Linked DNA regions of Oryzias latipes. The protein of the gene in region 1 purifies or fractionates together with the protein of each later gene. This does not show direct contact. Links are inferred from orthologs where the notes say so. Each region holds a gene or a part of one and is shown in the gene's direction. Other genes may lie near its edges. The genes, in order: aurka, ppp1cc, fbxw7, ppp6r3, arfgap1, dicer1 and calcium-binding and coiled-coil domain-containing protein 1.

Region 1 (3,509 bases):
GATGTTTTTGAGATTATTGAGGGTGAGTTGTGAGAAATTGATTTTCGGGGTCGTTTTCGTGTACTTCATTGACGGTCCCTGCCGGACTTTGCTTCCATGTGAAGCTGAAGGCTGCAATTTTAACAGCAAGGCAGGAGAACTTGGATGTATCCATGTGTGTTCTTGGTTTGAGTTGGCGGCACCGACTGCAATAGTTACCGAAATGTGTTTATTTTTAGTTTTGGAAATTCTGTGAAAAGTTATGGATAAAGCATTGCTAAAAAAAAAAAGTGTACAATCCCTGAAAATCAGAGCCATCCAGCTGTAAGCAGGATCCAGCTCAGAGGAGGAAAAGGAAGACGGTAATGTATCCATTTGTCTGCAAGCGGATGCATCAGAATGGAGTGAACAAGTAGACTGGTAAAAACCCATTTCAGTTGCTGCGTCACAACTGAGTTTTTTTGCTGCACCTGAAAAAAGAAATGCTCAGGAATTCAGTTTTCTTTCCAACTTCCTGAATATATGTTCTCCAACATGAGAAGAATCCTACAAGAACATGTTAAAAAGCATGATTTTTTTTATTGGAGTGGGTCTTTAAATCAACAGTGCAGAGCAGTAAATGTCACAATGAGATTATGTTGTTGTGAATAAGCATGTTTAAGACGTAGATCATTTGTTTTAATGCAGATCTATAAACTCAAACGTGGAACTTTTATAAAAACGATTTATTTCTACACTTTGGTCAAAAGTTTTATTTCCAGAAAAAATACAAAAAAATTACCTGATTCCCTTTTTTCTGTCTTATAAACTTCAAGCTCCCCCCTTAGTTTCTCTGAGGTATTTAGAAGATTTCATTTTACTTTATCTCTGCCGGAATATTTGCTTAATCTTGTTCTGTATCTTTTTTAATTTTTATTCTCTTCTGTGTTCTGCAGGCACCCTAACATTCTGCGTCTGTACGGCTACTTCCACGATGCGTCTCGCGTTTACCTCATTCTTGAGTTCGCACCCAAAGGAGAGCTGTACGGCGAGCTGCAGCGCTGTGGGAGTTTCCCCGAGGACAGAAGCGCCACAGTGAGTGTGACCACTGAGGAGCTTTCTTCAACCCAGATTTAGAAAACACTTGGAACATTGTTTAATACGTTTATGACATTGTTTAAACGGAAGCGGTAATTGCTGTTGCATTTTTTTCACCATTGCGTATACAATATAGACCAAAGGTATGGACACACCTTCCCATTCTACTGAATGGGAAGGTGTGTCCAAACTTTTGGTCTGTACTGTAAATGCATATATTTGTCTTGCTTTTGTCACTTTTATGCATTGAAATTTGCAGCCAACTCGATTCAGACTTTGTTTTATTTGCCTTTGAAGTACATCATGGAACTGGCTGATGCCCTCCACTACTGCCACACAAAGAAGGTGATCCACAGGGACATCAAGCCTGAAAACTTGTTATTGGGAGCCAACGGGGAGCTCAAGATAGCTGATTTTGGCTGGTCTGTTCACACGCCTTCATCAAGGTACCAGCATTCTGCATTTGAATGCAGTATTTATGCATGCCTGTACTTTATAGTCAAATCTGTTTTTTTATTTCCTCATCAGGAGGTCGACTCTGTGTGGAACCCTCGACTACTTACCTCCAGAGATGATTGAGGGGAAAACTCACGATGAAAAGGTGGACTTGTGGAGCCTGGGGGTCCTTTGCTATGAATTCCTGGTTGGAAAACCCCCCTTTGAAGCGAAAACCAACGATGAAACATACCGGCGTATTTCAAGGGTACGACTACCAGCTACAGTCACAAGTTCAGAGGCTTCAGTGTGGTATTTTAAATGCCAGATCTTGTTACAGGCAAAGCTACTCCAGCAGTAATTCAGCTTCTCTGTTTCTTACCAATAAACCTTCATTCCTCTTCTAGGTGGAGTACACTTACCCTGCACATGCTGCTATCAGTGATGGAGCTAAAGACTTGGTTGCCAAGCTGCTGAAGCACAATCCCATGCACAGGCTGCCCATCCAGGGGGTCCTGTGTCACCCATGGCTGCTCCAACACTCCACCCGAAAGCCCACCCCCCTTACTGATGAAGAGCAGAGTCAGTGATGCTCCTGAAACGGGATTCTGAATGATCCCGAAACAGCAGATTGTCAGTGTTTTTCTTTTCAGGTGCTTGTTTTTCTCAACCACCACCTCTTCACAACAACCACTTGTTTTTTTGTTCTGCAAACATGTGAAACCTCTGGTTATTTTAACTTTTTATTCCGTTTCCTTTCTTTCAAGTGGCATTCATTTGCCTGTAAATATTTTTCTGTTACTGCTAAATAATGAAAGTTTTATGAAACCTTTTTGTGTTGAAAATGGAAAAATAAATGTTTATGCGCCATCTTTAAATGACACATCAGTGGAAGGCGATTCTGTTTGTGTTGCTCATAGTTCAGTCTGCTGTCTGAGTGATGAGCCGGGTCAACCTGAACTGACGAGGATTCCACTAAACCAGGAAACAAGTCTTAGTCAAATAAAATGTTTTCTAATCTATTAAAATGGTGCACTGCAAATGCATTGTCTGTCTAAAAAACTATTCAAGAGCTGGATTTAATCTTTCATGTTTAATTCATAGCAGTGACTTTACTTTTTGAATCAACTACTTTTTGCACAACTTCGTTAGTTTTTTTTTTAACACAAAGCAGAAATTGTTTTCAGGGAGGGCAATGGTAGCGTGATATTGTGCATACTGAGGGGAATATTTGAGTTTAAAGAAATGTAGCAAAAATTGAAATGTTTGTCAAAAACAGTCTACATTCACAAGGAGGTTAAGTTTGTCCTTTACTGGTGGACTTTTTTTTATTTTGTCTACAAGTAATGAGGTTTTGTGCTGCAAAAACTTCAACCCACCTGTCAGTCATGGTCACGGCAGACTATTGTGTCTCCTGAATGCAGGTGTTGATTAATGTGTTGGTCACTTCAGTGACACCTGACAATTTTTCACATAATTGTCACATTTTTTTGTTGTGATGTTCTGATCCAGATATTCTTCCCTATTCAGACACCAACAGAACTTGCAGGGGGAATGAAAAGTGAAGGAATCTGCTGGTGTGTCTGATTGGCTTCAGTTTCATTCAGTTATCTGGTTGGGGTTTCAACTCTACCTCAGTTTTGTAGCATTGGAGCTCTAAGACACCTGACCAACCAGAACTACTTCTGTAGGACCTTTAACAAAGTGTAAATTGTTAAATCCACAATACCCATTGAAATGCTTGCATGTTGCTCATTTAATCCAGGCCATTACTTTTAATCTTGGGTAAGGACACAGAACAGGCGAGGACTGAGGTGTTTTTGCTCAGTGTTTTTGCAGCCAGGCCTCCTGGAAGATGTGACTTATCACCGATGGAATGTAAACACTCGGTGTGCATAAGATCATGGGACATGTTTGAGGAAACAGAAGACCCGTTGTGATGCTGCTGTATGTCTCCTAACCTCTGCCTGTGAAACTATTAATTCATTAACTGCTTTTTTCATCAACCAACTCAGGGA
Region 2 (3,529 bases), on another chromosome or scaffold:
ATCTGTCGTGCCCATCAGGTAACCGTCACCTCATGGTTCTGCAAACTGAATTGCAGGAGCTTCTGCACATTGGCAGAACATTGTGATACAGGAACATCACGACTTGTGCAACTAACTTTCAGGGCTGTTGTCTGAACAAAACAGTGTTTACTTTTTGTTTTTGACTTTGAAACCTAAAGTGTATCAAAAGACATTTATTTTTGACCCCTGAAAAAACAGCATTTCTTCTGGTAACCTGAGCTTTTGAATAGAAATGACATTCTTTGACATTTAAAATCAATTTCCTTTTAAATGCAACTGTTTTAAAAAAAACTGCACTTTAGTTGAGAGAGAGTGTAATCATGGTGACAGTAAAACTAAGCGTGATGATGTCACACTTTTTGGAATTTTCTTTTAACCCCCTTTATTGTCGTTCTGCCTCTTTCAGGTGGTTGAAGATGGTTATGAGTTTTTTGCAAAGAGGCAGCTTGTGACCCTGTTTTCAGCTCCAAATTACTGCGGGGAGTTTGACAATGCTGGTGCCATGATGAGTGTCGACGAGACTCTTATGTGCTCTTTTCAGGTGGGCTACCTTTATTCATGAAGATACTACCATAAGCTGTTTGCACCAATATGATCTCAGGCTAACCCTAGATTAAGCATTCCTTTAAAGAAAATTACATTTCAAGACATTAAAACATAACTGCTTGTTTTGAGTTTGATTAAGGATTTGATACAGTTACTTAAATATTGATTTGATTTATACATTTTTAATTCCAACACCAATTGATTTGCTTTTTTAATAAATGTTTACTAAGTGAGTGATGGAAACTAAACAAAAATACACATTCCTTTTCTTCCCTATTCAAAGACCCACTTCGGTAAAGTGTGTTTTTGGTGTTTTTAGCATGGTCTTCTGTCATTTTTCTGATGACAAGGGAAACATATTAAGCTTAAAATTGCATTTCTATGTCTTTCTTTAAAATGATAAAAACACTATTTATAAAAAGGTGTATGTGTGACGTAGAAACCTTGTTGGGCGGGCCTCAAGCTCCCTGCTCTACTCTATTCTGATGCAAACAAATAGATCCATTTACGTCTTAGTTTTCCTTGTCTCAGCTGGAATCTGGATCAAAACTGTATGACTGGAACCCTTTAGTATTGCTCGCCATTTTTGTTCCACCACTAATGTAATATTGGGTTTTTAGGGGCTGTAAGATAGTGGGAGAGCATATGAACACAGAGCTCCTGGTTAAGGATGATGGGAAGGAGGTTGCAGGTTTACCCCCCCCCCCCCCCCCCCCCCAAAAAAAACAGTCAATTTTTAATAGAAAGTTGCCTTAAAGAAAGATTGACATTGCATTTCGAAATGTCAATCAAGTGGTTTATGCTGCCGTTCTTGGTGTTAGTGTTCCTGGGTTATCTTCAGGGAGAATCTATAGGTGTATTTGATTTTTGATTTCTCCAAATGTCTGTGTTGATCGAGTAAAAAAGCAGTCAGACAGCTATAAAAGTGGATAAAGCGCTGCAGCTGCTGCCTCTCAGCAGCAACAGCTGGAAGTCTTCTCTGCGGGGTTAACTTTCCAAAACAAAGACATGGAAAATACACCCTTTTTCTTAAAGCATAACTTTTATCCATGTTGTTGAGATGAAGCCGTATTAACATATTCCACTTACTAACCTGTTTGTTTCTTTTTTAACGTTTCTTACAAGCAGAAATCGTTTATTGTGTAGCAGTAAAGAGGAAATGTAACTCTTATTCTGTATTACTAGGGAATTTTAGTTTGAGTATACATTTGTTTATTTATTCTTTATTAAAAGCTTTAATATGAAAATAAGAAATGTCTAGGCCTCAAAGGACTGTTATTGGGTGTGTGGTTTTTTTTGGGATGTGATAAAACAAAGGCGTAACTCTTTACACTGGATTTGCAGATCTTGAAACCAGCTGAGAAAAAAAAGCCCAACGGCAGTCGTCCTGTGACTCCCCCTCGCAACATGGTGACCAAGCAAGCCAAGAAATGAGGCAGGCGCCAGGGAGCTGGTGGGGGCCAGAGTCCCACTCCTCTGGTCTGCTTTTGTTTTCCGCATTTGAAAGATCGGGTCTTCTTCACGCTGCCAATACTGAAGATACCCGCTCCCACTCGATGAAACAAAATGTTTTATTGTTTTGTCCCAAGGGGTAAGTTGATAAGTCACCATGGAAAACCTCAGGTGTTTTGCACTCCATTTGCAGCTAGTCTTTGCCACATAATGACTGTTCAATCAGGAAAATGTAACAATACGGCTACTTGTGCACAGGAATGCCTTTGTCTGAAGCTGTGCACAATTTTTCCACTTTTCCATGTCTCGTTTATTTGTCATCTCTTTTCCTCACTGTCAGTAATAATAAACAATGGCTATAAATCTATGAGGAAAGTCACAGACACATTTACCTTTGTAAACTCCATTGACTGTCAGTGTCAAAGAGAATTGTCAGAATTGCATCATATTTCTAAATAAGTCGCGCTAAGTTAAACGAATAAGGAAACATTCTGTAATATCAAAGTCTTTCTAATAAACTTTGAGAGTATTTGGGGGGGGGGGTTGATATCTTAATGTTATTTGTTTCTAAAACTTTTATGGCTCTTGATGAAAATAAAAAGTTGAAAACTTCACTGTGTCTAAATAAGTGCTCATGAATTATAAAGCAGGTACTAAAAAACACCCACGAAGACCAGCGCTCAGCCACCTGCAGCTCTTTATCGCTCTGTTGTGGCTCTCTGGTTAAAGAAAAATGATTGTCATATTTAAAAGTAACTATAAGGGAAGTAAGAAAGTTTTTTAAAAAGTAAGTTAACTCAAACTTTTTTTAAAACTCATTCACAAACATTTGAAGGACGGTACGTATCACACTTTAACAGATTTATTTGCACCATGTAACGGAAAATCAATTGAAGGTCAGTTGGCACAACCAGAGTTAAAGACCACCAGATTATGAGATGGATTTTTTTTTGTTATTTTTGGAACAAATGAAAGGATTTAAGTGCACCTTATGGTTCAAAAAATAAGATAAGGGTCACCTAAATAGCTCTTATTTAATTCTGATTTGTTAGTTACACATTTCTGGCTGAGATGCACCAGAAATGTTGAAATTAACTTTTTTTTTTTAATCAGTACTGACATTACTCCTTACTACTACATTTGCTGCATTGAGATGATCCTATGTGACAAAATGTCTTATTTTGAAATGAAGTCAGAACCTCTGTCAAAAGTTATAAATTATTTTATATTTTGAAAAAAGACATTTTTCTCTTTGTTTTATTTACGCAAAAAACTTAATTTAATTCATATTTATTGTAACAGTAACATAAATATAAATCAGTGTCATGTTTTTGTAAAGGATGAGGTTAGACTTGGTGGCTCCTACTGGGTTGTCAGTGACATAAAATTAGAGATTAAAAATTAAAATTAGAGAATTAGAGACTTTCCATAAAAAACATCTGTATTGGTTGTGAAAATCCTGTGTTTTGTAATTATTTCACTTTTGTTACTTAAAAAAATAATTCACGCG
Region 3 (4,160 bases), on another chromosome or scaffold:
GTATTGAATGTTCAGAATTGACCCAAAGGGGCATGTCAAACACAGAAACACTGTTTCAGAGTTCCTAGTGCTTAAAGCATGGTTTCATTAGTGGAGAATTCAGAAAGATATTACTCTGTGCCAAATGAAATTTGATCACATCAAGAATTGTAGGAGCATCCAGCTCTATGCTACTTTAAAATATAGTATTCATAAATCAAATTATTCAAAAATGAGGGGTTAATGAAACGTCCTCCCCTCATCTAACTAAATAAATAAAGTAAGTAAAACCTTCAACATCTGTGTCTTTTTATTTTTTTTTTATCTTTGCAGAATGTCAAGACCTTCTCATCTTCAGACAGCCTAGCGAAGGTCCAGGAGGTAGCAAGCTGGCTTTTAGAAATGAACCAGGATCTGCTGTCGGGGGGCAGCAGCAGCAGGCGGAGTCGGGGGCCCGGGGGTCCAGCAGTGCGAGGTAACACCTCCTCTACGACCCGGGCACCCCAGCAGGCGGCAGAAGAAGCCGACGAGGATGAGCACATTAACCGGGTTGTCGAGGAGGATGAGCAGTTGCAACAGAGGGTGAGGCCAGCTCATGCTTAGGAAACATTTCCCTTTTATGTAGGGGGAAGATTATAAAAAATGTGTTGATACTTGAAAGATTTATAACTATTTTGATAATGGTGGATTAAGTTTTCCCTAACATGTTAAAAAAAAAAACGTAGGGATCCTTCTTTATGAATATGAACTCAAGGAAATGCATAACTCTTTAATTGTGTTTTCTTGGGTTGGCCTGTAAAGAAACATCTCTACACGAGAGGCCTAGACTGCAGTCAACTGTGTTTTTTTTATCTTATATTTCTCAGTTTAGTAAAATAAGTAATTAAATGAGTCGCTTTGATCTCACAGAATTCGATGGATGGCCTCACATCTAGCTCCAGAACAAAGTGATTTATATAAAGTCTTGGCAGAAGCCAGAAACGTTACCCACCCAACCTTAGGAGTTTGAGTAAACACAGCCCTTCACTGTCTTCTCAATGTGGGATCGTCTCTGCGTACAACTTTGTTCCAGAAGTGTTCTTGTTTTTTTTAGGTTCAAGTTTGCAACCTTTTTCTGTTTTGATTCACAAACTTCTTTAAAAGCAGTCTTATATTCCTTTGAACTTTAAAACTTAATTCTCTTTAGGTGGTACTCAAAATATCATCTTTAGCATTGTTTTAACATCCTATAGCCTTAGAATTGAAAGGCATTTCACATAAGCATCCGCTGTTCTTTTCCTTTTCAAAGCCCGAGGTGTCCCAGGTTGATGGTGAGAGGGAGCAGCTTTGGGAGCCCAGCGAATCAGGAGCCAGCAATGGCCCTCAGGGAAACGAGGAGGTGGAGGAAGATGAAGGAGCCCCGCCAAACGAAGTGAACGGAGACGAAAAAGGAGCCAGGTGGATGTGGGGGACCGAACACAGACAGGTGAGAGGGCAGCCACCCCTCGAAGAGGAGGAGGAAGAAGAGGAGAACAACAACAACAACAGCAGCAGCCACCAAGAGGAGGATGAAACTGAGGAGAGGACAGAGGGAGGGGATGAACAAGGAAGGGACGAGAGGGGAGAAGGAGAGGAGGAAGAGGAGGAGGATGAGGAGGAGATGGACCAAGACAGCGATGAGTTTGAACATTCAGCAGAAAGCGAAAGGGAGGAGGAAGAGGAGGAGGAGGGAGGTGAAGGGGAAGAAGAGTTGCATCCCCCCTCTTTCGCGAACAGGGTTTCTGCCCCCAACAATCAGGACTCTAGATGTAAACCCCAAAGCCCTTCCAACAAGAAGGACAAGGTAAGACATCAACAAATCCATTTGTTTCCTTTATATATGGTCTCTCTTTGTAGCTGAGAAGTGTGAACTTTGTTTGGGGAAAATCACCGTTTACAATTTGCACCAAAAGGTTTTAAAGTATTTTTGTTTGAACACATTTCCATTCACATTCATTCATAATAATAAAACATATATGTGAAACACTTAGATGGAATGACTGAAACTGAAATTCCCACTGTATACTAGATTTATAGGTGATTGGCTCCATCTTGTGGCATAAGCGATACTCCTCAACAGTTCCTACTAAGAGCGTCTATTTTACTTGAAAACTTATAACTAGGGATCATAATTACTTTACCCTACACCAGTGAGGAAATCCAAAGAAAGATACTTTCAGAGCCTTGTTACAATTGGAGTTTGTGGCTTTCAGTCTATCGTTCGATGAGTGGGCATATTCGAAGAATTACAAGTGTTGGTGATTCTCCTGCAAAATAAGCATAAAGCGACGATATTTACTGAATATAACTTAGCCTGGGGAGAAAATATCAAATATAGGTAAAGTTGTGCATTTTTCCAGTTCCAATAATAACAGTGAATTTTAAAGAAGCAGATTTGTTTTTATTCCCCTAAGATATCTGAGTCAAAGATCTTTTGAAAAGCAATGGTGGGATAATTTACATTCCTTAAATCTGTGGAATTAAGCTGATTTTAAGTTACAGTTTGTCTATTTATCTGAATAGACTTAAGTCTGAATAGACTACATTATTATTAATAGAAAGACCTGTTCTGAAAGGGATGTTTATTACACTGGCTCCTTACATGGCCTTTACAATGCTTTAATCCTTGGTTTCGAATGATATTTATGCCATTTAAAACTACTTATGCCAAAGCAGTCTGTCTATGTTGCTGTGAGTGTTTGTCACATTTCTGTGCCGTTTGTTTGCTTTGGCCCCTCTGTAGTCGTGTTTCAAGATGCAGGATTTGGCCACATAACACTTGGATGAAAGCAAGTACAAGCTTTTGGTTCTGGGAATTTTAGAAGATCCATCCCCCAGCCAACTTGACAAGCTTTACAAATATTCTCTAAAAATATTGTTATTGCAAAAAGGAACTCTGTGTCCTGTCACATGTTAATAATGTATAAAACCATCTATTTATCAGTGTTATTTTATTACAATTTGAAAAATCTTTCTAATCAATGTGTTTGAGTACAGATGTTCGATAACTTATGTTTTTAAGAGGTGTTTCAATGCTTTACTTGCAGTGTGGATGTTGCAGCCCCTTAAGCCCCACAAGGAGCCAATTGTCTGAAATCATTCACATTCCCCATCATGTTTGTTTCCGATTCATGTTTTTTTTTGTCCCTGAATCCTGACATATTTAAAGTCATTGCTTTCAATATTCTCTTGGTACGCTCACAAGAATTCAGATTTCATGTCTCATACATTTCAAGCCCAGCCACTGTAGAGGAGAAGTCAGGCCAACTTTTTAAAAATGCTTAAAAAACATATTTATCTTTATTCCAGATGTTGCATTTGCTTTTACCTTAATCAAGGAGCTGAATATCATTTTTGGGAAAGCAGGAACACACATATATGTATAAATAAATAAATAAATATATATACACATATACATGTATATATTTCTCTTATTGGGTGTTTGTATTCTATAGAACTGTCATTGTAATGTTATTCTAGACTGCAGTGTTTTTTAGGGATTACTCAATCTGAATCGATCCAAACTTAATACATCAGTAATCAATCCATAAAAGTAGAGATTGATCTTCTTTTGCCTTTCCTTTTCTGGTGACCGAACACGTAATAGCAGTAAAGCCAAAGTCTGCTAGCTTGATGCAACGTATAATGGAAGTTCCCTTCCCTTAGGACAGTTAACGCTCTGCCGACATAAATATACATTGCTGACTTAATGAACAACTTTATATACTCACAGGCATGAATATTCCAAACTCCTTTAAAGCAAAACTTTTTTAAAGGTAAATCTGTGGTGTAAAGCTCTCTTTTGTTTTCTTTGCTCAAATCTTTTGGAAGAAAGTGTAATGCTATAACGAGAGCTCCACCTAGTGGGCAAACTGAAACGCCCTCCAGTACACGCAGATCATTTACTGGGTAATATGAGGCAGTTTAGAGCTTTTACAGTGTTAATGACCTGCACATTTTTGTTGGAGTTTCTCCTTTTTCAGAAACCATGTAACGCTGTTTGGTGTTAACAATCTCATTAGTTTATTATTTCACTTATACATTTTACAGGATGTGAACTGTATTAAATGAACATGAACATCTTCTAAACATATATAAAGTATTAATGTATTTCTATATAAATATGTCTGAATGTGTGAATCAAATCGAATTGAATCGATTGG
Region 4 (4,160 bases), on another chromosome or scaffold:
TCAACAGTCCAGTTACTGCAGGTGTTGCTGCTTCTATAGCCCATCATGCTGTTACTTTGTGTATCACAGGGCAGAAGGTGGGCGGCGACGAGGCTACATGGGTCACCTGACCAGGATAGCCAACTCTATAGTTCATAACAGTGATAAAGGGCCAAACGGGCTGCAGATACAGCAGCTCCTCTCTGGTGAGGCTCTTTTATGTCCTCCAAATGAAGTTTATTCAGCGTTCCAGGTCAGAATTACTGACACGATCAGATTATCATTCAAATGTTTTAATATTGCTTTTTTATTGATGTGGTTGTTTTTTTTAATGTTTTCAGTTCTAATAATAGTCCAAAATCAACTATAGTGGTAGTTTTAATCTGTAGTTTCTCAACAATCATTTCTTGGAGTAAATGCGAAATGGCAAATGTAATACTGATAAATGCAGCAAAAGCTGATGCTGTATAAACAAAAGCTGCATCAACATGAGATTTAGAGATTCAACAGCTGTGACATGAGATTAAATAAAGGATTCAGCCTTTCAGTTAAGGCCTGTTCACACCGGGACGAATTTCGCCGGCGATTTTCGCCGACGTTTAACGCCTCGTGACTAAACAAAGGGCACCAACGAGAGTGTGCACACCGACGCGAAAAAACGCCAGGCGTTAAAGCGTCAAAAAAAAAAAACCGCCTCGGGTTCGTTTTTTTTTTCGACGCGTCGCGTCGAAATCTACTCGACCAATGAGAACGGCGCTTTTGCTCACTAGTCTGGAGCTTCTGAAGTTACAGTAAAACACAACTTGGGGGCGCTCAAACACAAAACTGCCATTCTGAGCACACATACCAGCGAAGAAGATAGACGCCAAGTAGCGTCTACACAGCCGCGAAGCAATAATGACGGACATTCTAAAATATCCCCGAACCAAGCACCAGTTGGAGCTACTGGTGTTTGAAATATTCATGTTTTCTTTGTATGATTCTGACAAGCGCGTAAATACTTGCTCTCTTCTTCTGAGTGAAAAGCGACTTTAAGAAGCGTAAAGCTGCGCAGCGCCACCTTGTGTACAGGAGTATTTCTGTTTTACATTAAGCGCCATCTAATGTCAGGGAAGGAAATTGCATGTTCACTCCACTCATCGTCAGCGAAAATCACCTGGGTGTGAACACAAAAGACGTGGCGAAAAACGCTGGCGAATAACGCCTGGCGAATATTCGTCCCGGTGTGTACGGGCCTTTACTTGTAAAAGACTTTTCTGTTCACATAAACCAAAGTATCATCTGCATACATTAGAATTAAAAGTACAGCACGTAGTGATGAAAAATCATTTGATATGAAAACCCAGCAGTAAAAAAATAAGTTGAGCCCTGTGGGTTCCCCTGTGTTTAGTATTTTGTTTGTGAATATGTGTGAAAACAGGGAAATAGTTCCTCTGAGAGTGCTCTGCTTCTGGGTTCTGCTTCCCTGTGTTTGAGTCTGACCTGACCGACCTGATTGTGTTGGACAGAGCTGCCTTCAGAGGACCGGGAAAGATGGGAGGCCTTTGTTTCTGGGCAGCTGGCTGACACAAACAAGAGAAACGCAGTTGACTTGGTGAGTGATCGTGTTGTAATCACAGGATTGCTGGTAAGCTGTTTTTCGGGTTGTTTTGTCTTTTTTCCTCTTCTCTTTGCATAAACGTTTGTGACTCACCCCTTTTGCGCTTAGCGCTTCATAAGTCGTTTACATAATGTTGTACGTCAGAAGTAAAATGCCTCAGTGAAACTCACAGAGCTTTGCTGTATCAAGCAGCTTTATAGACCTCCTACAGACTATTATATAAAACAGTGATGGCTGCCAAGTTAGTGACTATTTCTGGTGCTGCGATTGCAACTGTTTCATATTGTTTTATTATGAAAGGTGAAAATAGTTCACCTTTGTGCATGTTTGTTTCTCACCTTTGTGCATGGTGTAATGTATGGCTCTTTAAAAAAATAAAGATGTGAGAAAGTATGAAATGACAGGCGGCCCCCCCCCAAAGAGTAGGGAGGAAAAACTGGCAATGATTTACTCATTTACAATCCTGAATGTTTTAGGCAACATAAGGACAGTGAAGCCAAGGGCTTTGTTTTCATCATGGACAGAAAATGTTTGGGTTTTTCTCTGAAAGATGAATACAAGACCAAGGTTTTTTTTTCTGGTGGTTACATCTAGATCTGGCAAACAACTTTGAAATCATTTTTCCATGTGAGCAACAGTATTTGAACATCAAGAATTAACATGTAATAGAAAATAGGTAAATATTTATTTGAAAATTCCCTGCTGTCAGTAATTGCATCAAGTCTGTGAGTCATTGACATCCCAAAGGTTGTTTTTGTTTGTAATACTCCTTCAGTTCAGCCTCTTTGGGGGTTGTCCCCCTTTAGTCTCCTTTTCAGCAGGAAGAAGTCTTCCTTTGTTGGGTTTCAATGTGGACATTGACTTGCTCATCTAAAACTTTGCACTTCTTGCTTTTTACAAACTTTGTAATTAGTTTGGCATTGGGCTTTGGGCTTTGTGGCAGAGAAATATCTAGTTAATTTTGCTGCTGCCATCAATGGGCCCATTCCAAAGAGTTTCAAACCACAGCACTACCATCACTGTGTTTCTCAGGTGAGCTTGTGTCTTTGGGCTCATGAGCAGATTCTTCTTCCGTCTTACTTTTGTCTTTTATCTTTTAAAAACTTATCTGTGTCTCACAACTCTTGAAGCTAATCTCTGTCATTTTTAGCAACAGTCAGCCTAATGAGGGATTTTTCTCCTCTGGTGTAGCCTCTCTACCTGAGCTGATTATTGTACCTTCACTCCATCTTTGGAGACCGTTGCTGTTGTCTCTTACAATGTTGTTTTCTTCTTATCTCTAGCTAGTTTTCTTATGTGATCTTCAGGACTTTCTAAATGGATAGCCTGGCTTTGACCATGTGTGTTTAATTACTCTGGTGGATTTTCCTCCTTCTCTCAGCATTTTTACTCACGGTCTGGTTTTCATGTTGGTTACACTTCTTTACTATTGCATTTAGAAAAACTCAAACCTGGAACTAACCATAGACATTTCACTGCTGATTGTTATGATGGGACAATCAACACACAGTTTCTGTCAGATGCTCTTTGCTCACATAAGGATGAATGAACTGTGATAACTCTTTCACATTCACATGTAAAAACTCAGTGGTAGAAGCTGGCATGCCAGTTTCTTGTCTGATTTTCTTTTTTGATGTGACACCAGGTTTCAATCAATAGCTAAATTAAAGGAATTGGCCTCCGCACCCCTGGGGCCTTTAACTGGGGGGGTGTAGCTGTCTGCTCCTGTAACTGAACGTTCTTTTGGTGTACGCCTCACTCAGGTCAACACTCATCACATCCACTCTTCCAGTGATGACGAGGTGGACTTTAAAGACAGTGGGTTTCATCAGGACTCCTCCCTTCAACAGGTAAGTTCAATGCACACACTTTTCTTGCATTGGCTTCATTTAGAAACGATGCACATGTTATTCAAATATTGGGAAATCCAATTAGCTCTTTTTACATTTGAATTTAAAGCTGCGTGGCCCTTGTGGCTAAAGAGGCCACTTCTGTAGTTATAACACAATATAAAAGTACTCTAAGCTTAGTTTCCATAAGTTGTTTTTATTATCGAACAGTAAAACGTTTTCCCACACATCACAATCATTTTGAGCTTATTTGCAGGATGTAATGATTAATAATGTGAAGTGCACATTTCCAACCCAGGACCCAACAGTTTGTCTTTATTAGCTAAACATATGAACATAACACATTAAGAATGTCTCTAACTGTAAATGATCTCTACCAAGGTTTGAATACATTCACTCAACTACCATTTCTTCTGATCAAAACCAAGTTGGTGCATGTATGTCCCATAATGCCTCCTGTTTTTTCCAAGAAAGTTGGGACTGAGTGACATCTGCTGAAATCAGAATGACAGTCAGATAGTTGTCCTTCACAAAATTGACCCTATGTGGCAAAAATGTGAAAAACAAACCAAACGTGCCACATAAATTTCTGCCCACCCAAGCTCAGTCTAGCACTCAAAGAGGATTTTTGTTGCAAATGTTTTAAACTCTGTACTTATTTGAAACTGTTGAGTGTTACCATGTCGAGGTTTAGAGTTGGTTCAGGTTAGGAACTTGGCAGAAAACATTAT
Region 5 (4,700 bases), about 16 Mb from region 1:
AAAGATTTGATACAGGCTGGGTCCGTAGGTCTCCTCAGTGGCCAGGAGGATGGCGCAGATGCCTGCAACGGATGAAATGAGGCCGGTTAACCCGTGCAGGTTATGGATACCGCACTGGTCTTGGATTCTCATTCGCTTGGCCAAAAAGGGGGTCATGTACTTGTAACCAAGGAAGCAGGCGGTGCAGCCCATGACGCCGAGGACGTATGCAGCTACAGGAGAAATCATCATGTCCACAGAAGCACCAACGGTCACACCACCTGCTAGGGTCACGTTCTGAATGTCAGCCATCGTAAGCTTCCCCCTTTTGTTGAACAAAGCAGAGAGGGCAAAGGCAGTGATGGTGGAAGAGCTCAGACCTATGAATGTGTGGAGAATTGCTCTGTGCTGATCATCCCCTTTAAAGGTAAGAGCAGAGTTAAAGGAAGGCCAGAAGATCCAGAGGAACAGAGTTCCTATCACAGACAGGATGTCAGAGTGATAACTTGTGATCTCTTTAGCGTGTCCGTTGTTCAGATTGGGGCGGTACAGCACAAATGAAACCCCCAAACCAAAGTAACAGGCAAACAGGTGAATGAGAATAGTGCCTCCAGCATCATTGATCCTAATGTACTTAAGTACGGCCCACTCTGTCACAGCAAAAATAAGGATCTCCAGCAAAGCCATGATCAAGAGCTGAACCGGGCTGGTTTTTCCCAGCACGGCCCCAAAGGAGATGAGCACCACGGCACAGGCGAACTCTGCGTTCAGCAGATTGATCACTCCCAAGTGAATCTTCCCATCATAGTAAAACTGGAAGAAGCCTTGCATCAAGATTGCCCACTGGATTGCAAAAGTTGCTGTGAGGAAGTTGAAGACCATTCCACTGAAGCCGTAGAAGCGGAAGAAAGCCAGCAGGCAACCGAAGCCAATGAAAATCATCACCTGCACGTCAGCAAAGTAGGGGTAATCCCGGTATAGCGCGTTATCCATGGGGTTGGTCTGATTGTTTTGCAGCTTAGCATTAGAATCGTCATCATAGGTGACAAACACAGCATAAAGTGCTATTATTACTATTTCCAGCACTAACACAAGTGCGGGCAAGCGCACCTTCAGGCTTGTGGAGGACGTCATGTCGGTTCACCAGTCAATAGAGACGCTTGTTTCTTCTCTTTTATAGCGCATGAATGCATTTTTTTTTTTTTTTGCAAGATAAGCTCAGCTAAAAGCATTGGGGGAGAAAAAACTCTGACATGTAAGTGCTTCAGACACGGATGTACTTTAGTCCCTCAGAAACTTCCATATAACCTTATCTCCTCAACTGTTACTTTCATCATTGTACCACATGGTAAATAGTTGAAAAACTATTTAATTTAAATTAATTTAATTGAAAGGAACATTCAGACTAAAAAAACTACTGAATTCTTTATGGTGACTTAAAGTGTGTTGACTCCTGCAGTTACAAATAATTTACTTAAACTGTAATTTTAAATGTTAATATATATAATCTATATATAATCTTAGTATTTCAGCGTGAGTAGCCTTGGCAGGCATTAACATAGAAGATTTTTAGACATACATGCTTAACAATTAACTGTAAATGTGTAAAGAGTAATGAAATCTGGTAAAATCGCAAAGAAAACTTGCTTCAAAAAACTGCACTGGTACCTGCTAGGATACTTCCATCCAGTAGGTGGCGGTAGAGATTTCAAAGCCAATAGGCATCGTAATAATCGTAATAACACGAGGAAGAAACAGGAGCGTTTTACCAGGATGCATTGCACTGCCAACGTATGCAAACAGGAACATGGCTACCGGTTTTTTTTTTAGCATCTGACATTTAAAACTTTCTTTTCATTCTGTCTTGTAGACTTTGTGACAGTACGACGGGATTGAAGATAAAACCTTTCAAAGCGCCGTCACGGAGTCTGAATACTGAAAACAACGTCCTTGTTCCTATAATTTAAGGTAACCCAACAGGTAGCTAACGTTAGCGAAATCGAAAATCTTTTTAGTTCGTGTTTTCATTTTGTTTTATTTGTTCAGAAACTCAAAACACAACCAAAGGATGTTCACGTACTAGACATTTGTGCTGTCTAACATTTGTAAACACAGGAACAGATGTTGTGAGGAATGCAGTTCTATTGATGCCCGGCATTTTAAATTTTCCATACAATTTTTTGTCTATTTTACACATGTCGCCTTTTCTTTTGATCTTCTTTAACTTAAGTGTTTTTGTCAAATGTAAAATAAAATAGAAATATCAGAGTTTATTTGGAAAAACAAAAATATCTGTGGTGTCACAGAGAATTAGCAAACCTGACACAAAATAAATAAAGTAAAAGGAATAAATATTTTTGAAAACATTGAACATTCGTGGGGGTTGTAATCTGTATGTTATGAAACAACCCCCCCCCCCTTTTTTTTGCTTAAGATGTCATTAAAATGGATGATTTAAATTTAAATTAGAAAAAGAGTTGCACTTAAATGCTGTTTACTTTAAGCTTCTTTTCTTAAGGCGTTATATGTTGTACATATGGTTTTGAATGATAAAAAATAACAATAATAAACAGTAAAACGTATTGAAAACAGGATGTCAGACATAAACCAATATATTAATAGACTAATATGTCTAGCCTTCTAGGCAATGATCAAGAAAAAATATTTACAAAGGCAACATTGATTCATAACAATGTAAATGTGGTATACAAAATGAATGGCGAAGTGTGTAATGCAAATGTATATAAAACAGATTAATGAAATTGTGTAAATAATAAACAATTGTCCATTTTCAGTCAAGTTACAGGAACTTCCTGTTAAAGTGACTTCTTAGTTCTTTAGTTGTAGTGTAGTTTGTTTTTTAGTAAATTCTTTAGGTTTTCATTTTTTGTTTAGTCTTTTAAGAAATTGAACTTAATGAGGGTAAATTAGGGAACTGAATTAATTTAATATTTTGCATTTAATAATGGACACAAATTTCCAATATTAAGAATAACTATGGGTTTATCCTTAATACTTACAGATTACTTGTAGGTTTATGCCAATACATTCCTACAAGTGAAACCATTATTTCTCGAACATTTATATTTTTATTTATTTGATGATGGTGCGTCATTTGTTTGTTTTAACTTTGAATAAACATCACATTGTGCATTGCTGGATAATTAGGTTTAAGATGAATTGGTAAAAACTGTGTTTTCAATGAAAAATTTTAAATTTCTCTTTTTTTTTCATATTTGAAAAGAATCTATTTAGTGATTTAGCTTCCTTTTTGGGGGACCTTTGGTAATTTTGACCTTCAGAGTAGCATTGACTGCATCCTTCTGTCAGTAAATGTGGCTTCATCCACCTGTCTGTCATTCTACCTGTTTTCTTTGGGCTCTTTCCAGTTCTGCAGACTTTATTTCGTAGTTCTTAGCTTTTTGGTCCACCTTTTTCGTTTAGTTCATTTTTCAAAAAATAAGAAATTACTAATTTTAAATGAAGGGGAGTAGAAGAAATATATTTCATTATGTGAAAACAGTTTAATTTGCTCTTCTTTCTATTTACATACATCTGTTAAATGAATGAATTGTCTGTGAAGGTTCTCATTCGTCCTGGTGATGTTCTTTTGAATGTGATTCATGGTGTCTGGACTTAAAATCTCCCTTGACACTTTTCACCTATCATCTAAGTAGCTTCATCAGTCTGTATTAAATGAAATGTTTGACTCTTTTAGATCTGGTCATCATGGCAAGTCCGAGAACCAGAAGAGTTCTGAAAGATGTGAGAACCCAAGATGAGAATAATGTAAGTCCAGTGCTCACTTTTTCCCTTAGTAGAAACCAGCTAATGTTGTCCGTCACATGGCTTAGACCAGGGGTCAGGAACCTGTGGCTCTTTTGATGGTCACATCTGGCTTGCAGACAAATCTTTAATTATAAAATCATTTTTTCATTGGACCAGTCCTTCTCGGGCGCGATGCGATGCCAGAGGGGCGCACAGTAGTAGCGGTGCTTGGAGAGAGAAAAAAAATCTGCGCCAGAGATATTTCAGAGTTTGTACCAGCCGGAAACCTGTTAATTGCCGTACCTGCAACTGTGCACTCCCGTCTCTGAGAAAAAGCGCGCAGTTGCAGGGACGGGATGTGTGAGGCAGGGGGGGGGGGTAGTGGGCACATTGTCATAACTTAAAGCACGCAGCCCGTCACTCACTGCAGCGTGAGTGTGTGTTTGGCTCCACGTCTGCATGTGAGCAGTCTTTCTCACATCTAAAGAACATTCAGACCAACCTACGATCACATTTAATGTATTGAAGTCTCAACGCCTGCATGAAGCTGAAACTCACCACCTATCAACCAGCCTAGACCATCAGCAAAACCACACGGAACCAGAAATTGTATTAATACTAAGAAATACTCATCATTTATTAGCAACAGCATAACAATGTTATTAGAAAGAATCCATAAACTTATCGTACTTTAAAAGTGTTACATATTACATAATGACATCAAATGCACACATTCACTTGTATTTCTAGTTTTAAACATAGTGTGGCGGACTGAGTTTAACTGGGTGGCTGTTGGGTTGCGTTATAAGTTCCGGAGTTCATTGAACGCATCATGCAGAGATCTGATTGGCCCTCAGTTCTGTCGCTCAGCCTGTCGTTGGGGAGTTTGGACCAATGGGGTTCAGCTATGGGCCGAATATTTTTTATTTATTTTTATTTAAGCTTTATTTAAT
Region 6 (4,658 bases), on another chromosome or scaffold:
TATGAATATCATTTCATACCAAATTTAAAGCTTTAAAAATGTATTTACCAATAATGGAAGGTTGCTCCATTACACCAATACTGTCTTGTTTACCAGACATCAAAGACTGGATGGCCCAAAGCTTTTTAAGGTTAATGACAAAAAACAGAAGTGATGGTGTTTGGTCAAAGGAAGGTTCTGTGAATCCTCCTCAGTGGAGTTGTGTCCCTTGGCTCCACATTTAAAACAATCTGTGTCAAACCTGGCTTTTGAAATGGACAGTGATTTTAAACTTGACTGTTAAATTAACTCAGTGGTAAAATCCATCTTACTTTATTTTAGGCAGTTGTTGAAGGTTGAACCATTTTTACCAAAACGTCATTTTGAGACAGTAATCTATGCTTTCATTATATCTTGGCTGGATTACTGTTACTCTCTCTATTTTAGAGTCAGCAGTCATTCCTCTCACATCTCCAACTGGTCCAGAACGCTGCTCCTCGTATGAGGGACCACATCACCCTCATCCTGGATACCCATCACTGGCTGCCAGTGAACTGTAGAGTTCATTTTAAGAGTCTTTTATTTGTTTTTAAATCTTTAAACAATTGTGCACCGCTGTCCCTCTCTGAGCTTCTGTGTCCTTACACCCCAACCCAAGGCCTCAGGTCTGCTGATCAGCTTCTCCTGAGAAAAGTGTTTTCAGGCTGTGCACCTAAGCTGTTGAACGTTTCACCACTGAGCGTTTGACAGGCATCTTCACTTTCCATTTAAAGAAAAAACTTCTTAAAACCCCTTTTTATCACCAGGCCTTTGACACAGCATGACTCTGCTCTGCTGGTGTGTTTACTGCTTTACAGTTTTGCTTAGCTTTTATGGTGTTGTTACATCCTTATCTTACTTAAAAAAATACATATTTAATTATTTTAACCTCTTACTTAGTTGTTATTTTTGTTCTTTTGAGCTTTTGATGTACAGTAATTTGTTTGATTGCGGTCATTTACGGTGCCGTATGAATCAATTTAGCTTAAAATTATTTTTATAATAAATTTTTAGAATTTTCTTTAGTAAAAATCATTAAAGCTTTTAAATTATTTTTTTGAACCGTTTTCTATTTTTGACATTGATGTGATATATTCACTATTTTCTATTAAGTGTCAGGTGTTACATTTTTTTATTTTTTTGTAGATAGGGATTTTTTGGAAACTGACGGGGTTTTTTTCTTAAGCACTGAATTTTCTTTTAAGCCTTTAAACAAAAAACATAAATAAATTGTGTTTTTCTGTTGAACTCTACGTTGGTGAAAGAAGCCTCAAAACAAGCGGATCCCCAAGTTTGTTTGATGCTGCCCCCGAGTGGACAAAACATGCCACAACAGGAAGACGTTTAATTACGTACACCAGAGCCGCGGCTACGCAAATGACGTAAACTTGAGGCGTAGCGGAGGCCCAGGGAAAAGGAAGTGGTCCCCCGTGGACGAGTAGCCGCATATCTGGACAGTTCGCCTAGATGCCAGTGAGTGTTTCCAGCAGACGAGTTCTTTTCTGTTCAGACGAATCGTTCGGTGGAAAAATAACCGCGTGGGTGAGTTCACGAGCGGAGCGCGCGGTTCTTCGTACAGGAATGTTACTGTGGATGGATGTAATGGCCCTGGTGCTGCTAGCCGTTAGCTAGCTCGACATGATGATACGGCATGGCGGCTGCAGTGAGAGTAGAGACGCTTTTTGCTACATGCTGGATGCATTTCTTATCAGTTTGTGCGCCGCTCTTCCCTAATAAGACGCATTTTTTAATAAGATAATGGGAATTTTAACCGGGTTTAGTCCCGCGCGCCGCTAAACATTTAGCTGCGTTAGCTTTCGCCGCGGCGTCGGTCTCTGTGTCGCCGGACAGACTATGGATTGGATGATGTCCAAAGACACGCGGAGGCTCTTACTTTTAGGTCTTGTTTGCGCGTCCTCGAGCCTGCTTTTGTCTTCCCTTTGCAGAAAAAAACTTTCCGTATTTATACAATATAAAAAGGCGTAAATTGAGATTTAATACAGCGTGTGTCGTTCAAATGTTTGTCACAAGCTCAAGCTGCTGTCACGTCACTCAGGCGTTTTAACATCTGGCTGTGGTGATCCTGGACAGGAGTGATCCGTTATTAAAAAGACTTCCCAGATCAAGTTTGATATTCTGATCGGTTTTGATTAGAGATCCAGATAAACTGACACAGGTTTTAGTAATCATTAGATCTGCTGTCCAGGTCCAGCCGACTGGCCAAATTCATTGTGGTTTCTGTTTACCAACTGTAGAGGTGATAGCAAGTTCACAGTTTTGGGTTTATTTTCTGATTTGTTGAATCTTTGTAGATATTTTAAACAACTACATAGATTTTTGTCTTTTTAACAAATCTGATATTCTACCACACATGCACCTCCTGGACCCGTATTGTTATTTAGTTAAAGCATTGAATGCTGGGAATTGATATAAATAAAGCTGATTTATGAATTATTAAAAGTTAATAGACACCTGCTAAATTTCTGTTTCTTGAAATGATCTTTATTCATTTCAGCGACTCAAAATTGATCTTTGAAACACATTAATTTATTGTCTAAACTTTTGCTTTTAGTTTGAATGAAAAACAGTTTGATTGTATTGTATGGAGTTAATTCAGTCTCAATAATCAGAAATGCACACAATCTGTTTTACAAATGCACACGCTCCGATTCACAAATGTCATTTTATGCAAACGTGAAAAATAAATTCGGATATACACACCCTGTGTTTCACAAACACACAGATTGTGTTTCACAAATGCACACTAAATGTTTTACAAATGCACAATAAGTGTTTCTCACAAATGTGCACACTGTTTTTCACAAAAACATTTTAGAAATTCAAAATAAATGTATCAGAAATGCACAGTAAGTGCTTCACAAACATGATTTTTAGGTACACATGTGATGTGAACTCACAGATCATTCGAACTGCAGAATGTGCATTCAAAATCCCGTTCTCGTTTGTGAATCTCCCCGTGTGTGTGAGAGATTTTTCTACGGTGAATATTGAGACTCATCTGACGGAGCGGGTCGACTAATCTCACCATTGGCTAGTGAATCTGTCAATCAAACTCATTGGCAAAGCAGGCGGGTTCGCTTTTAGCCAATCTAATGGCCCCTTACACTCCTCACTTTCAAAGTGACGAGGGAGGGAGCTGTTCTGCACAGCAGTTGGGAGGACGCGGGCGGCAAACATGGCGGAGAGGTCTTCTGAACGGGATCAGTCTCAGCCCGTAAGTAATGCATTTATTTGATCATTCCCTCGTTGTACGTCCTGTAATGTTATTGAATACTAAGTTGAAGCGTTTTCCTTTGCCAAGTGACATGTGTGAATGCTTTATGAACACTGCAGCCGAGTCGTTTGCAGAGTACCCCCACCGCAAATTAGCTTAGCTTTGTTTTGCTTAGCCTGTGCAAGTTGTGTCTGCCTGTGAGTGTGAGTGAAGTTCAAGCCGGTGTCGGTTCAAGCTAGCGTCTATAGCCAATGATCTGTAGGTTCTTAACATGATTCAGATAGAACTAAGGGGAAAACATGCCGGATTTACAGCAGCAAAGAAAGTTTAATAAAAAGTATTGATTTGGAGACGGCGATTTGTTTAAACACTGATGCTATGCTATGTTAACTAGCTAGTTGTTCCGTGTGCTGCCTTTATGTAAACGCGATCCGGGTTAAAGTTAGACACAGCATTTTCACAACCCAGACTTTAAGACGGGGTGGACTGTGCAACAAAGTTAATTCATATGACATTCATGAAAACGGCATTTTTTAAATATAACAGACATGAATCCACTGTTGAATGAAAGAAGCCTCATTAAGTTTCTAACGTTAGAACCCGTATTCATTGTGATGACCAGCCCTGTGAGATTGTGTCAGAGTGACAGCCACTAAATTCCCTGTATCTTTACTTCCAATGACGTAATGACAAGAATCCCAAACATTATGTTTTTAGGCTGTTTTGTAGTCGATAAGTAGTCACAGAATGGGGGGATGGGAGAAATCAGCTGTCAACAGTGATTAGAGTAGAAGTTACTGTAAGTATTACACACAGGCTTCCTGTGATCAGTGTCTTGTCTCTGATTTTTTTTAAAGGTGTTCTTTACTACAAGCTCAAGTTATCATAGCAAGAGTGTTTTAAAAAAATTCCCCTTTCATATATTTGAAAATTATGTAATTTAAGATCAGACAGCTAAATGATCTAATCCATGTTTGTTGTGTTTTTATTTATTCTCTAGGAATTACTGAATGTGACAGCGTGACAATCTTTTGTTCCTCGTGCCATCAGGCAATACAACTCTCTGGCAGGGCATCTTACAAGTAATTTCTTTTAATTTTACCCACTGATTTTCCAATTATTTACCTTTTTTATCAATCTTTTTATTTTGTGATATTTCTATTTGTAATGCATGTGTGTTTATGTGTTTTTTTAAGATGGCCATTTTAAAAAAATTTCCTCAGGGATTATTAAATACCCTTCTATTCTATTCTATTTCATATTTTATCATCCTATTGTATTACTGTTTTACCTGTCAATTGGGAATTTTGCATTTTTGCCCCTGTAAATATCTGTCAGTTGAAAGTATTTGTACTTGTATTCCATGTATCCTGTACCTGAAGATAGCAGACAACAACTGTGCAGA
Region 7 (4,597 bases), on another chromosome or scaffold:
AAAATGGTGGAATCCAATTTATCATGCAATGTTTACTCATATCTGACCTTTACACTGATTCACAGAAGTCCCACCTAGATAAGGATCCATCATGAGATTTCTGTACTTCTATATAATAAATTCAAATGAAGAAGTCATTTTTATGTGCATCTCTTGATAGCCTTGTCTCCAGTAAACATTGGGTAATGTATGAGATAGTCGTTGCCATGTACAACTTATTTCATTATGCTACTTCAAGAGAGACACTACTTCTCCTCTATCTCTACTCTGCTCACACAGACTCAGCTCACTATTAATCCACTTAAACACAATTTATAGGGTCTCACTATTGACTGTCCTTCGGCATAAAATTACATGAAGCATTTTTGTAGTGTCGTCAACGGACTAAATTAGCCAAACTAGCCCCACTAATTGAAGGAGGAGTAAAGTACTATTTGGCTAGATTGATTCATCAATAAGACAGTTATGGACAATGTGATAGCACTAATATATGATAAATATCACACAGAGTACCGCCGTTGAACCATAACGATCTTATATTTTAATTTTTGCTATATTTTTTAATGCTGTAAGGGTTCCTTATTCTGTGCAATTTCCAACAGCCTTGTGCACAATTTAAAGAGCTTTCTCAGTGCGTTAACTTATGGAATATTAATGTTGTTTACTCTTCCAACAGTAAAAATGTGTGGTTTGGTTGTCACATATGATATCCATGTTTCCATCCAATTTCTGTTTTTTAACTTGGAAAAACAGAAGAAGGGCAAGGAATCTGCAGAAAAACATATAGAAGTGCTTTGAGGATGTTTGGGTGGATACAGCTTACATGTATGTGAACCTGAAATGTTTAAGTGTCTGTTTGAAGATGGTGTGCTGCCACCTGCTGCCAGCATTACAGCATCTTCAGGCTCCAACACTGACAAAAATGTAATCATGAATTTAAAAAAGTAAAACACGTCTAAATCTTGAACTGACAAGAACAGTTCCATCCTGAAATCTCAATATTCTGCACAATGAGTTGTGTTTTTCTTTTTCTGTGGCAGAGCATCATAGACAACTTTAGAACGCGAGGAAAGCAATCCCTCCAAATACAACAGGTTAAGCGAAATCAACAACTGCGTCGATTTCTATTTAAAGTTTATTATAGGCCGGGAGGGGACAAGAACATTACAAACAAGATGGCTGTTTTTATCCCATTTTAAAGTATATATAACGTCCAATAACTCTGCTTTTGTTATCCACTTTAGCTAACAAGCTTGAAGATCGAAGAGCGGTACAGCCAAAACAAAACAAAAAAAAAAGAAAATGAAAAAAAAACGGGAAAAAAGTCAACGCGGAAAAGCAACGGCGTGTGCTTACATGCGTCATCCTACGTTCTTCTCTCCACAATCTCTTTGAGTCTTGGGAGTTGAAGTTCAATTCGGTGCAATCTGTTAGGTTTTCCATTACCGGTGAACTACAACTCCCAGAGTTCTTCGGGGTGGTGATGCTGTCGCGCTTGTGTTTTGCTTTGGCTTTTTTCCCCTCTTTTTGTTATTGTTTCGTGTTACTAGAGAAGCCGGACGCGTGAAGGAAAAAAGCACGACAGTCCTGTACGTGGTGTCATCATTTTCTTACTGAAAATAGATTGATAAGTCCTAATGAACAGCATCTGTTGTCATCTTTTACAGAATTCTGACTTGAAGAACTGCGAGACTTTGGAGGTAATGTCAGTGCGCAGATGTTTTAGTTTTTTGTAAACAAAGCTGTTGTTTGTCTAATTTAATCGGACATCTTTAAATAATCTTAAAAATGTTTGTATATAGGAATGTACTTGAACGATTGTTTCCGAAATGTTCCTCGACCTGCATGTCAGAGTTGCGTCCTCGACATGTGCTGCTGCAGGGCCTCAAGCCTCGTCATGTGTAACATGAAACCTCAAAGAACTGCTGCAAATTCTTTCCCTTTAGCTGTGATTTTTCCACCGGGTCGACAAGAGTGAACACGCATTTATACAGTGCATTTTTGTCATGTTAATACAACCCAGGGGTCATAGGAAGAACATTTTCACACACATAAGTAGAGAAAACTAACAGTCGTCGGTCAATATGCCCTCATGACACAGCACATGCGCACTTGCCGAACATCCTGTAATTATAGTGTTGCACTCTTATGGCTGTTTTGTGTACACATGTGCAACAGAGATGTGCCATTTCCGTTATCAAAGCTGGGTTGGTGTCATCCACATGAAGGTTGCATGACACTCAGTGCTAAATTAACAATGCTTTCTGTCAGCAAAAGAAGTACACTGAGATGTTCCAAAAATACGCCTGCCTGTGAAATCTGAGATCCCTCCAACCTCCCTCTCAATGCTGATGGGACACCTTGATCTGCCTGATGGAGCACAGCGGCAAATGATTTCTTCAGACCAAAATAGCCACAGTAAAGGAGTTGTAGTGGGTGGTTCTGTTCAAAGACGGGTCACTCAGGCTTAGCTTTCCACTCCTCCACTGGACTCTCAGTCAAGCTATCTTCTTACTCTGCGTAAATATTCATGTACCCCTGGCTTGCTCCTATTTTCTGCCTGCTATCACCCCTCTCCCATTCACAATTGCTCCGTTCCCTCGTGCCAGCTTTAATCTATGGGACCATAATGACTGCCATCGGTTTGATTTTTCTTGCACAGGTCTTTTTTTTCATGCTGCCATGGACAACACTTGGCAGGTGGAGTTTAGAAACGTGGGATGCAGTTACTTCCCTCAGAGCAGAGTTGACTGCCACTTCACGTTAAGCGCACAGCACAAGTGGGCCAGCAGTGATTGGGTTGGGCTCTTCAAGGTATTTTTACTCTGACATGTTTCACTGAAAGTATGCGATCCCAGACTGTTAATGCGGCTGCAAGCTAACCAAAAGTGTGTGTTTTCTATCTCAGGTGGGATGGTCCTCAGTGAAGGATTACCACACTTTTGTCTGGGCTCTGGTTCCAGTTGACTATCAAGAGGGTGCAGATGTCAACTGCTGTGTGCATTTCCAAGGTACTCAGGCTCCTTTTCTTCAAGTACTTACCAGCTGGAGGTATTTCAGTAAAAATGAAAGGGTCAAAGCCAAAATGGGGGAACTTTGGTCATTTCAAAAGACAAATAATTGCTTTGTTTGATCAGTTGTGACTTGGTTAGAATAACATTACTGAGTAAGCAGGAGGCCATGATGATGATGATGACAAAGACAGTGGGCTGGAGCCTGCTGTACTCACCGGAAAATGGTGTTGTGTGTGTCAGGGTCTGTCAAGATTTCTTGTTCTCTGGGAGGAACACGTGTGCAGCAGGTGGGGGATTGAACCATCGCACTGTGATTTATTGCAAAGTTAGCTTACATTTAGAATCAAAATTATTTATCACAAAAGGCAGAATTGAAACTCAAGAGAAATCATTAATGACTCCCGACTGCCAGTGATTTAGTAAATAAAAGGCAAAACTGCATTTTTATCTTTTGATAAACTAGGGCTGGTTTATAAAATAAAGGAACTATCTTTACTTAATAAAACAATATTAATGAATTAAATCAATGATTTCTTGTAAAACAACTTTCAGTTTTATTTTCACTTAATGAATAATCGTCTTAGTGAAGAAAATTCAGTCATTATTCAGTTGCATCACTAAATATGTGAAAAATGTTTATGACCAAATGAAATTACGTTTGAGTAGAAATGTATTACAAAAACTTGATAATTAAATTGTAAACCCAGAAACTAGTTTTAATACTGTTCTGATATTTTATATTGCTTAGTTTTAATACAGTTTTAATTGTAGTAAATACCCGTAATAGTAAAAAGTTCTGCATTTTAACCAATTGCATGTCAGGAAACTACTAAAAAAAAAACAATATATATATATATTACACATACACACACCTATATGCATAGGTGTGTACTAGACCTGCAAAATAAAATGTTATAGTTATCGCGATATCAAACTGTGCAACATGCGTATTCCATAAGAGACGAAAATTGCGATTAATGGTTACCTTAAATGTGCTAAGACATTCATATGGCAGCTTGACGTATCTAACAAATCAAATAAATCCCTTTATCCATTTGACCAACTGGATGAACCCATTTTAGATATTTGCCTCATAGGGATTAGGGTCATTTGAAGTATAATTTAAGTTATGTTGTACAGGTCCTGTTTCTTTCATTTACCTAAAACCTAAGATTTACCTGTTTGGCAGTTTGGTTACAGAATTCCCTTCAGAACTGACTTTTCTGCAGACTTGAAGCCAAATTACTGAAATTATATGCATCATAAATTAAAAATGCCAAGTTTTTCAAATCATTGCATTCCCTTTCTTACACCATAACAAATAAGAACAGGGAAACGGTAAGAATATGTATATTTATATATTGTTTTCTTTTTTATTCTATTAATTTTGAAATCCCATTTTTCCCCATTTTAGCCTCCTACCTACCTAAGCCCAGCTCCCAGGAGTATGAATTTGTCTATGTGGATGCTCAGGGGGAAGTGTGCTCCCGCAGCCCTAAGTTCACTTTTTGTGCACCAAAGCCGCTTGAAGATCTGGTGACCCTCGAGGAAGAGTCTTATGGAGAGGAGGAAGGCACAGATAT

What was found.
Region 2: the proteins of aurka (region 1) and ppp1cc purify together in Homo sapiens (affinity purification with mass spectrometry; 3 studies listed by BioGRID, with this or other methods). This does not show direct contact. The link is inferred for Oryzias latipes from reciprocal best matches to the Homo sapiens genes AURKA and PPP1CC.
Region 3: the proteins of aurka (region 1) and fbxw7 purify together in Homo sapiens (affinity purification with western blotting; 5 studies listed by BioGRID). This does not show direct contact. The link is inferred for Oryzias latipes from reciprocal best matches to the Homo sapiens genes AURKA and FBXW7.
Region 4: the proteins of aurka (region 1) and ppp6r3 purify together in Homo sapiens (affinity purification with mass spectrometry; 6 studies listed by BioGRID and IntAct, counting the BioPlex papers as one, with this or other methods). This does not show direct contact. The link is inferred for Oryzias latipes from reciprocal best matches to the Homo sapiens genes AURKA and PPP6R3.
Region 5: the proteins of aurka (region 1) and arfgap1 purify together in Homo sapiens (affinity purification with mass spectrometry; 3 studies listed by BioGRID and IntAct, counting the BioPlex papers as one, with this or other methods). This does not show direct contact. The link is inferred for Oryzias latipes from reciprocal best matches to the Homo sapiens genes AURKA and ARFGAP1.
Region 6: the proteins of aurka (region 1) and dicer1 purify together in Homo sapiens (affinity purification with mass spectrometry; 4 studies listed by BioGRID and IntAct, counting the BioPlex papers as one, with this or other methods). This does not show direct contact. The link is inferred for Oryzias latipes from reciprocal best matches to the Homo sapiens genes AURKA and DICER1.
Region 7: the proteins of aurka (region 1) and calcium-binding and coiled-coil domain-containing protein 1 purify together in Homo sapiens (affinity purification with mass spectrometry; 3 studies listed by BioGRID and IntAct, counting the BioPlex papers as one, with this or other methods). This does not show direct contact. The link is inferred for Oryzias latipes from reciprocal best matches to the Homo sapiens genes AURKA and CALCOCO1.

The regions. Positions count from the first base shown.
Region 1 is NC_019863.2:11,348,241-11,351,749, reverse strand, and holds the end of aurka (aurora kinase A), read left to right. Parts: intron 1-914; coding exon 915-1,053; intron 1,054-1,353; coding exon 1,354-1,502; intron 1,503-1,584; coding exon 1,585-1,759; intron 1,760-1,898; coding exon 1,899-2,081; 3' UTR 2,082-2,511; downstream 2,512-3,509. UniProt on the Homo sapiens protein: Mitotic serine/threonine kinase that contributes to the regulation of cell cycle progression.
Region 2 is NC_019867.2:25,502,317-25,505,845, reverse strand, and holds the end of ppp1cc (serine/threonine-protein phosphatase PP1-gamma catalytic subunit), read left to right. Parts: coding exon 1-18; intron 19-427; coding exon 428-562; intron 563-1,911; coding exon 1,912-2,001; 3' UTR 2,002-2,548; downstream 2,549-3,529. UniProt on the Homo sapiens protein: Protein phosphatase that associates with over 200 regulatory proteins to form highly specific holoenzymes which dephosphorylate hundreds of biological targets.
Region 3 is NC_019859.2:19,453,036-19,457,195, reverse strand, and holds part of fbxw7 (F-box/WD repeat-containing protein 7), read left to right. Parts: intron 1-312; 5' UTR 313-381; coding exon 382-561; intron 562-1,267; coding exon 1,268-1,801; intron 1,802-4,160. UniProt on the Homo sapiens protein: Substrate recognition component of a SCF (SKP1-CUL1-F-box protein) E3 ubiquitin-protein ligase complex which mediates the ubiquitination and subsequent proteasomal degradation of target proteins.
Region 4 is NC_019864.2:5,097,004-5,101,163, reverse strand, and holds part of ppp6r3 (serine/threonine-protein phosphatase 6 regulatory subunit 3), read left to right. Parts: intron 1-69; coding exon 70-185; intron 186-1,487; coding exon 1,488-1,573; intron 1,574-3,342; coding exon 3,343-3,429; intron 3,430-4,160.
Region 5 is NC_019863.2:27,793,986-27,798,685, forward strand, and holds the start of arfgap1 (ADP-ribosylation factor GTPase-activating protein 1), read left to right. Parts: upstream 1-1,727; 5' UTR 1,728-1,770; exon of another isoform or gene 1,771-1,849; 5' UTR 1,850-1,947; exon of another isoform or gene 1,948-1,959; intron 1,960-3,697; 5' UTR 3,698-3,708; coding exon 3,709-3,768; intron 3,769-4,700. Other genes in the region: ammonium transporter Rh type B-like, read right to left, coding at 1-1,113. UniProt on the Homo sapiens protein: GTPase-activating protein (GAP) for the ADP ribosylation factor 1 (ARF1). Involved in membrane trafficking and /or vesicle transport.
Region 6 is NC_019880.2:4,313,858-4,318,515, reverse strand, and holds the start of dicer1 (endoribonuclease Dicer), read left to right. Parts: upstream 1-1,388; 5' UTR 1,389-1,491; exon of another isoform or gene 1,492-1,560; intron 1,561-4,658. UniProt on the Homo sapiens protein: Double-stranded RNA (dsRNA) endoribonuclease playing a central role in short dsRNA-mediated post-transcriptional gene silencing.
Region 7 is NC_019865.2:12,641,916-12,646,512, reverse strand, and holds the start of calcium-binding and coiled-coil domain-containing protein 1, read left to right. Parts: upstream 1-1,480; 5' UTR 1,481-1,589; intron 1,590-1,667; 5' UTR 1,668-1,700; intron 1,701-2,662; 5' UTR 2,663-2,682; coding exon 2,683-2,814; intron 2,815-2,908; coding exon 2,909-3,011; intron 3,012-4,428; coding exon 4,429-4,597. UniProt on the Homo sapiens protein: Functions as a coactivator for aryl hydrocarbon and nuclear receptors (NR). Recruited to promoters through its contact with the N-terminal basic helix-loop-helix-Per-Arnt-Sim (PAS) domain of transcription factors or coactivators, such as NCOA2.